Canis lupus familiaris: one gene and its partner. The protein of the gene in region 2 binds, or shares a complex with, the protein of the main gene of each other region. Links are inferred from orthologs where the notes say so. Each region holds a gene or a part of one and is shown on either strand. Other genes may lie near its edges. The genes, in order: RHOG and ELMO1.

The links.
Region 1: the proteins of ELMO1 (region 2) and RHOG are in contact, whole or in part, in a crystal structure (PDB 7Y4A), measured with the Homo sapiens proteins. The link is inferred for Canis lupus familiaris from reciprocal best matches to the Homo sapiens genes ELMO1 and RHOG. Residues at the interface, in NP_001193409.1 of Homo sapiens: Lys9, Val10, Ala11, Glu13, Tyr18, Pro19, Leu21, Met22, Ala54, Asn71, Gly72, Ile74; in NP_001656.2 of Homo sapiens: Val36, Phe37, Asp38, Trp56, Tyr64, Arg66, Leu67, Leu70, Ser71, Pro73, Gln74.

What each region holds. Positions count from the first base shown.
Region 1 is NC_049242.1:26,500,466-26,504,994, forward strand, and holds the start of RHOG (rho-related GTP-binding protein RhoG), read right to left. Parts: upstream 3,050-4,529; 5' UTR 2,947-3,049; intron 1-2,946.
Region 2 is NC_049235.1:48,789,805-48,794,278, forward strand, and holds the start of ELMO1 (engulfment and cell motility protein 1), read right to left. Parts: upstream 3,086-4,474; 5' UTR 3,049-3,085; coding exon 2,960-3,048; intron 1-2,959. UniProt on the Homo sapiens protein: Involved in cytoskeletal rearrangements required for phagocytosis of apoptotic cells and cell motility. Acts in association with DOCK1 and CRK. Was initially proposed to be required in complex with DOCK1 to activate Rac Rho small GTPases.

The DNA of each region.
Region 1 (4,529 bases), on a different chromosome or scaffold from region 2:
GATACTAGTGGACAGACAGCCACCCTAGCCTGCCCCAATTGAGAAGCTCCCTCTATAAGCTCTAGCTCCTGGGCAGAAGATGTCCTCCGCCCATGACAGGAGGACAAAAGAGGAAGCTAGACCCTAGACAGGAAAACCAATCTGTTCTGGGGAGGCGGCCCAGGCTTTGTCTTTGGTTTCCCTCCTCACAGACCCCCTACAAGCCTCACTACTAATGGGTCTACACTGTGTATGGAGGGAGAGGTCTTCATTCTGGGCCCAGGCCCCCACCTTCTTCCCAGCTGCCCAGCTACCCCCATTCTAATATCTTCCCAACTGTCTCATTATAGCTACAACTTCTCATATCTTCCTGCTATAACCTCCTAAAAGCTCACCTCGGCCACTTCATCTGACCTAACATTTGGCCAGAAACAACTCTCCATATCCTAGATTCCCAACCAGGATCTGTGACAATCTCACATTAGCCATTTCTTCCCCAAATAAGGACTGGTTTAGCAGGTGGGGAGTCAGAACTCCTGGATGGTTTTTTAATGAGCCACGATGCTGAAAAAGTGCCTTGCATGCACATCCTTCTCTGAGCTGGAATTTTTTGCAGGTTCCTGGGATTTCCTCCTGGAGTGGAACCACCTGTACCTCCCAGAGTGACAGTAGGAGATACGGTGGAAGAAGGGACAATTCACGGAAGAAGGGGGAAAGGCTAGAATGAGGAACCGGGTTAGCTCTTAAATCTAGTTGTGCTTGGGAATCCCAAAAAAGTTCCCCTCCACTTCTCTTTTTTTCTAATGGGGAGAAATGAATACAGTAGACTTGAGGTGGAGAGGCAGGATCTCTCAGCATGCTTCCCAAAGACTTGAGGAAGGAGCTTTAGAATGGGGACAAGAGCGCGTAGAGCCAAGCTGGACTGAAGTTAAACTTGAGAGGAACTCCTGAAACACAGGGAGTAGGGTCCTGGATGAGAGGGGGAAAATTAACAATGCCTGAAGGCAGAGGGGTCGGCAGAGGACTTGTCATGGAGACCCTAATGCAGCCAGGGCACGTGAGTTCCCAGGCTGGGCAGGCCCCAGAAGGAAGGAGGGAAGACGGGGCAGACACTTCTGCCTTACTTCCTTCTCCTTAACTAAAACAGTAAAGACTTAAGTTAGACCAGCTATCTAGTCTTCCCTCCAGAATCCTGCCTTTGTCCTCTCCCTTTCCTTCCACCACACCTAGCTGACCTCATCCCATTTTCCCTAACAGGTGGTGTAGGAACAAGCAAGCACTGGAATCAGGGGCCTTCAGGCTCTCTCCCAGCCTCTATACCTGGCCTCTTGGTTAAGCACCCAAGGGTTTGGGTGATTTGATTTCCCACGGCCTCGCTCACCAGTCTTATTCCTGTGTCACTCTACCCTTACTGCTACAGACTGCTTCCTCCTGCCTAACCACAACCTCACCCACTGCAGGTTCCCTTCATTCTGCTGGTTTCCCCTGCCCTGGGCCCTCTCAAGGCTGAGGGCAGTTATTTTGTCTCCAAGAGATAAAGACATAGACACATTGACAATCCCAGGCAAATACACATAGAGAAAAGTTTTCCAGCCCTTTAATCATCTTTATCACTGGGAGGTTGTAGCCTGTCTCTCTGAGGTCGGGAGATCTGAAAAGGCTCTCAAACCCACCAAAGTTCTGGACCCCAAAGCCAGAGATAAGTGGCTGAAAGGGAAGGAGACAGGGAGATTAAGAGAAGTGAGGAAAGGTGGAAGAAGCAAGAGGGTGGATATGTGTTTGGGAACCAGTAGGGGGGCAAGGAAGGGAGGTGGGGAGGCTGCAGGGAACAGAGGTGGACAGAGGGGCAGGGCAGGTGACAGGACAGGACCTGGGCATGACAGTGTGTTTAGGTGAAAGACTACAGAGGATGCAAGAAGAGGGTGATGGAGTGTTTGCAGATAGGGTCTGAAGAAGGAATGGAGGAAGAGAAATGAGAATATAGAATTTAGGGACTAACGATTGGGTGGAGGGAATAGGAGATGCTCCCAATTATTTCCCAAGGCCAGAGCTGGCACTGCCACCCAGAAGGTCTGTTCTCTCATCCCCTCAAAATAGCCCCCATCTCAGCGATGCCACCTTGTCAGGGCCTATCAGCACCTCTGAATGAGAGTCCTTCCACCGCTAGTCACAAGACCAGGCCCTCTTCTTCCTCAGTTTACCCCCCAAAGAGCGAGGCCAGGCCCTGGTCAGCCAGGCACAGAGATGTTTGCCAACTAAATACCTGTTGCTTCATTCCAGGGATGGAGAGGTTGGGCGTCAGAAAAACAGGCATAGAGAGCGAGACTGCGACTGGCGGGGCTCCCCCCTCCCTGCCCTCCCCTGAGTGCACAGGACCTTGGACTGCAGCCTGCGAATGCGGGTCCGGATTGGCACTTGCAGGGAGGGAGCTCTATTCTCCGCAGTCCAGGGCTTCGAGGGCCCCAGACACCGCCCCCCTCCAACCTCCAACCTTGCAAGTGTCACAACTGCCGAGCGGAGGGGAGCACTTTCTCTGCAGCCCAGGGGGCCCCCTTCCTTCACGCAATTTGGGACACCCCCCTCCCCTTCTGAGGTCACCCCAGCCCTGAATCCCATCGCCCAGCTCCGAGCTCTTCCACTTCGGAGACTTTTCTCTCGGAGCCGGGGACTCTCCCACCTCCGCGGTGCCGCCTCCCCGGGGACAGAAACCCACCGTCACGGTACCGCCGCCGGCTCGCAGGGGCCGGCTCCCCGCCCGCCCGCCCGCCCGCCCGGCCGCGCCCGCCCAGCTTGCGGAGAGCCGAGAAGCTCCCGCCCGCGCCTCCCGCAAGCGAACTTCCCCGGCCCGCGCCGCGCCCGCGCCCGCGCCCGCGCGCAGTCCCTGCCGGCCGCGCTCCCCCGCCCCCTCCCCCGCCCCCTCCCCCGGCCCCCCGGCCCCCCGGCCCGCCGGCCCGCGCCGGGCCTCACCTGGTGCCCTCCCCGCCGCGGGGGAGCTGGGGGCGGCGGCAGCGGCTCCGGGCTCGAGAAGGAAGTGAGAGCGGGAGGCCGGAGGAAGTGGGGGGGGCGGGCCGGCCGGGGCGGGGCGGGGCGCGGGGCGGGGCGCGGGGCGGGGCGGGCCGGACCGGGAAGTGCGCGAGGCCCGGGCCCCCCGGCCGGGGTCTCCCCCCCAACACCTGCCCGGCGCGGTCCGGGGTCGGGCCCTGGGCTCCCTAACCCCGGCCCTCTGCCTCGGAGGGCCCTAAGTCAGGTCTCCTAAGGTCAGTCCTGCCCGTCTCCTCCGTGCCACCCCACCCCAGTCGAGGCCGTAGCCGGGGCCCCAAGCTTTTGTCCCCCTCCCCGTATCTTGCCCCACCCACTCCCCGCGGGAAGATGCTGAGAACCGGCGCCCCAGGGTGGGCGCCTCGGTCAAGCCCAGGGAGGGAGCGCTGGCCCAGCCTGCGGGTTGGCCGGAGTGGGTCCGGCTGGGACAGTCCCCACCCCTGCCCCGAGCCCCAGCGGAGCGCGCAGTGGTGGTGATTCAGCAGTGGGAAGGCCCCAGACCCCTGGGGAGGGTGCGGAGACTGGGGGCAGGGGAGCTGGCGTCAGCACCCGGGGAAAGACAAGATCAGCAGAGGCGCCGACCGAGCCGCGGGCCCCAAAAACAGGATGTCGTGTCGTCGTTCCGCAACCGGCTGCTCCGTGCGCTGGGCTCTGGGGAGGGGAGGGGGCGGGGCGGGGCGGGGCGGGCGGAGGACGTAGGGCTCCCCTCGCCCTCGCCCTCGCCCTCGCCCTCGCCCTCGCCCTCGCCCTCTCTCTCCTCGCCGCCGGGCGCGCCACCGCTTAGGGCTGCAGGGCGGCACCCAGGCCCAAGATCCTGCCGGCGCCCCGGGGACAGCTGGGTGGACGGGCTCGCGGGCGCCCTCTGCTGCTTCTGCACCCAGGTGTTGCTCAGGAGCTCTGACGGCTCCAGAAGGGGCGGATAGCCTTCCTCCGTTCAACCCAAACTTTCTGAGCGCCTACCACGTGGACAGCTGCAGCTCCGTGCGGCGTTTAGGACAGGCTCCCTGTCTCCAAGAGGCTTTCCAGATAAAAAGGAAGAATAAATAGCGTAACCTTCTGAGCCTCAGTTCTATCTTTGGTAAAATAGAATAACCTCTCCTTCGTCCTGTAGAGGGGAGATAACATGAGAATGGATGTAAAAGGCCTGCTATTGGTGCCCGGCTCAAAGTAAACATTCAACGAATGCTTTAAAAAAAAAAAAAAAATCATGCTATAAGAATAAGTTTCCGGGATCCCTGGGTGGCGCAGCGGTTTGGCGCCTGCCTTTGGCCCAGGGTGCGATCCTGGAGACCTGGGATCAAGTCCCACGTCGGGCTCCCGGTGCATGGAGCCTGCTTCTCCCTCTGCCTGTGTCTCTGCCTCTCTCTCTCTCTCTCTCTGTGTGACTATCATAAATAAATAAATAAATAAGTAAATAAAATTATTAAAAAAAATAAAAAAGAATAAGTTTCCTAAACACAACATGTCTGCCCACATCTTTGGGTCTTTGCCCCTTCTATTCCCTCTGCCGT
Region 2 (4,474 bases):
GCAGGAAAACTGAGTAGCTTAAGAGGACCAGAGGGGGGGCTGGTTGCTATTTCACAGGAGATAATCAGGAAAGGCCGCCTGTGGGACACCTGGGTGATTCAGTCAATTAAGCATCTGCCTTCAGCACTAGTCATGATCCCAGGGTCCTAGGATAGAGCCCTTAATCAGGCTCCCTGCTCAGCAGGGAACCTGCTTCTCCTTCTGCCCCTTCTCCTGCTCATGCTTTTTCTCTGGTTCTCTGTCAAATAAATAACATCTTTAAATAAATAAATTAATTAATTAATAAGGAAAGGCTGCCTGTAAGCTGACAATTGGGCAGAGAGACCTGAAGTGAACAAGGGAGTGAGCTATCTGGAAATGCGGGGAAACATGCTTTGTGCAAAAGGAGTAACATATTCAAAGGCTCTGGGGAGAGAACTTGGTGAAGAAGAATGTAAGGTGGTCAGAATGGCTGCAGTTAAAAGCAGGAGAGACACCTGGGCAGCCCAGTCGGTTAAGTGGTTAAGTGGCTGACTTGGTTTTGGCTCAGGTCATGGTCTCAGGGTTGTGGGATGGATGGAGCCCCACCTCAGCAGGGAGTCTGCTTGAGATTCTCTCTCTCTCTCTCTCTTTTTCTAAAATAAATAAATATTTTATTTAAAAACAGCAGGAAGATGAGACATGGGGGAGGGGGGGTGGAGATAGGACCATTCATGGCACCACCCATCCCGTAGTCCAGTGCCTGCACCTGAATTCCACAAGACTCAGGCCTGGGCCTGCAACGGCCCCTTCCCTGATATCCACCAAGCTGCTCCCCCAGTTCCCTTCCCTCCTGACCCCATCCCCCTGCAGACTTTCAACACTCCTGGTCATTCCCTCACAGTTTCCCCATTAGACAACCAGTCCATCTAATTAAAAAAAAAAAAATCTGAGTAATAGATTCAGTAGGAAAAAAGGCAACATTTAACCACAGCCCTCCAGAGAGAGGAAATGTACCCTAGTCCGGAGCAGGGGTTCAGAAGGGCAACTGTAAAAAATAAAGTCCGCCACATGACAGCAGGGCATCCGGGCTTCGAGGTTCTGTAAACTGAGGGACAATAATCCTTGAAATAACCTTGGGAAGTAGGTATGGAGGGGAGACAGGAAAAACATGACCAGAAGAGGCCCTTACTAAGAGCTGCTGTCTGGCTTTTTTTTTTTTTTTCCTTAAGATTTTATTTATTTATTCATGAGAGACACACAGAGAGAGGCAGAGACACAGGCAGAGGGAGAAGCAAGCTCCCTGCAGGGAGCCTGATGCAGGACTCCATCCTGAGACTCCGGGGTCACTCCCTGAGCCAAAGGCAGGTGCTCAACTGCAGAGCCCCCCGGGCATCCCTTATAGAGATTTTCCTCTTATTTTTGTGTTACTGTTACCTTTCTTTAAAAAAAAAAAAAAAATTTTTTTTTTTTTTTAAATTGGAGTTCAATTTGCCAACATATAGCATGACACCCAGTGCTCATCCCGCCAAGTGCTGGGCACTGAGGGGGGTGGGGGGCACTTGGCGGGATGAGCTGCCGGCTTTTTGATCTAAAAGTGAACCTGAGTAGGGTTAGGTCCCTCCTGGGGTTCTTAAAGTTACCCCTCAGAGAGTCCATGCCTAAATACACATCATCAGTTACTTTTATTTCAGAAACAAAAGAAAGAAAAAAAAAAAAAAACCACGCCGGCAACACTCCTGAAGTCTTCCGGTGCCCCCCACCTCCCAGCCCCCCCAAGCCAGGACCTGCGGCCTCTGCCTCCCGGGGCGCGAAACCTAGTCTTGGCGCCTCTGGAAACCTTGGATGCAGCGGGCCGGGGCGCACCCTCCTGGGGCCGGGAGCCGGGAGCCGGGAGCTGTCCAGGGGCCCCGGCCGGGCCCCGCGCGCCCGCCCGCCGCACCGCCAGCGACCCCCGCCCGCCGCCGCCGACTTGAAGCGGCCCCGGGCGGGAGGCGGCACCGGGGGCCACTCGGCGGGCAGCCCGCGCCCCGCGCCCCGAGCCCCCCGCGCCCCGAGCCCCCCGCGCCCCGCCTGCGCCCGCGGGCTCCCACGCTCCCCGCCCTCGCGCGCGCCCGCGACCCGCTCGGGCTCCCCGGCCCCGGCCCCCCGCGCGCCCCGGGCCGCCGCCGTGCGCGTCTCCCTCCCTCGGAGCCACCCGCCACCTGGCCGCCCCCCGCGGCGGGGACCCGGGCCGCGCCCCGCTGCCGCCACCGTGCAGGGCCGCCCGCTGCGCCCCCTCCCGAGCCGCGACCGCCCTTCGGGGCCCCCTCCCCGCCGTCCTCGCGGTCCCAGCGGCGTCCCCAGGCGCGTCCCCAGGCGGCGGGGACCCGCCGTCTCCCCCGAGGGTCCCGGGCGCCCCAAGCGCGCCCCCTGCCCGTCCCCATCGCTGTCCCCTCCCCGGGGCGCGCTCGCCGAGGGCTTCCCTCCCACCCGCGGGTGCGGGAGCAGAAGCCGGGGTCCGAGCCGCCGGCCCCCCTCCCCGGCGCCCCTCCCGGCGCCCCTGCCCGGCTCGGGCTCCCGCTCCCGCTCCCTCTCCCGCTCCCGCAGCGGCCGCCGGGCGCTGCCCAGACTTCCCCGAGTGCGGAGCGCCCCGAGCGCACGCAGCCGCCCCCGGCTCCAGCCGCGGCGCCCCGGGGGAGCGGGGGCGCGGGCAAAAGTGTCTCCGCGGCGCCCGGGGCGCCCCCCGGCCCCGGGGCAGGGCGCCCCCTCGCGAGCCCCCCGCCGAGCCCCGGCCCCCGCCCCGGCCGCGCCGAGGTCAGCGAGTCGGGGCGCGGCGCCAGCGCAGGAAACTTTACGAACCTGCCCGGGGGTCGCAGGACGGCGGCGGCGGCGGCGGCGCCCCGCGGCCGCGGAGGGGGCCCGAGGCTGGGTCCGGCGGCTCGGGGCCGCGGCGGGGGGGGGGGGGGGGGCGGCTCTGCCTCTACCCCGTGCCCATCCCCGGCCGCGCACACGCACTCACCCTGGGGCCCCGCCGGCCGCCGCGCCGCCGGCCGCCGCTGCTCTCACTTCCTCTTCCTCCCTCCTGCTGGCCGGAGACACATTGTGCATCTGCAGGCATCCCGCGGGCGGCCGCCGAGTCCCCTCCCGGGCGGGCGGCCCTGCCGAGGGGCCGCCGCCGCCCCCGGCACCTGCGCGGGACTCGCGGGGTTGGCGCTGTCCCCGCCCGCGCGCCCCGGGAGCTGCCGCCGCCTCGGCCCTGCGGGGCGGGGGGCTGCGGCGGGGACGGGGTGCGGGGCCGCCCACCACTTTCCGAAGTCCCCCTACTTAAAAATAAGGAAAATGTCAAGCACCGTGCACGCCTCAGATCGGCTATAAATAATATGTGTGCAGAGCATGACTTCTCGGATGAGCTCACACGCGGCGCTTTGCAGGCACTAATTAACTCCGTCACCGTCATAGCGCCACCTCCGGGAGGCCGAGGGCGCGTGGCGTCTTTTTATATGCTTTCATTTTTGGCAGCTGGCATGCAATTTCGAGGGGGTGGGGGGGGAGACTTAGGCGGGTTGTTTTAAAGCGACTTTAAAAGGCGTTTGGGCTTACCCCGGAGCGGCCTGGCGAGGGTAACCCAACCTCTGCTGCTCTCTGTTGGAGCCCCCGAGGCATGTGCGCCCTGCAGTTCTCATCAGTGACCCCAAGGACTCCCTAACTTGGCATGACTTTTCACGAAGCGAGACGTTCTACCCTCCCCAGCTCGGTATTGGGGGTGCACTGTCTAATGCGACCCACTCCAGTGATTTTTCAAAGCAAAGAATCAAAAAATACTAACTCCCAGCCTAGCTGCCAAGGAGGCAAGTGACAGTGGTTGGAAGGTTGCAGGAGAAACACCTGTCCTTAACAAATTCAAAAAGAAAAAAATAGCTATCTACCCGAAAAGACAAAGGCGGTTACTAATGCATTCCCTTCAAACTGGCCAAGTTGGTAACCCGGGAGCAGGGAGGCATTGGCCTCTAAGGTGGAGGGTAAAACTCCTGCTTAAATTGCAGTCCCACCCCCTCCCCTGTGCTGGCAGCCAAGAGCCCCAAGCAACTATTGAACACTCCAAATGTGGCTCGCCCTGAGATGTTCTGGAAGTGGAAAACAGACACCGGACTTTGTATGAAAAACAGAATGTAAAATAGCTTGTTAGAAACTTTTATGCTGATTATAGCATTTCAACAAATGCTAATAGTGTAAGATGTGATCAGTCCACTGGGTTATTTTATTAGGTTAAAAAATACATATATATAATATATATATGTAAAATGTATATACAAATAAAATATATATAGTGTAAATATATACAACATATATATAATTTAGAATATTTTCACTATTTTCTTTTTACATTCTTAAATGTTTTTAAGATTTTAGTTCTTGGGCAACCCAGGTGGCTCAGTGGTTTAGCACCACCTTCAGCCCAGGGCCTGATCTTGGAGACCCGGGATCGAGTCCCAGGTCAGGCTCCCTGCATGGAGCCTGCTTCTCCCTCTGCCTG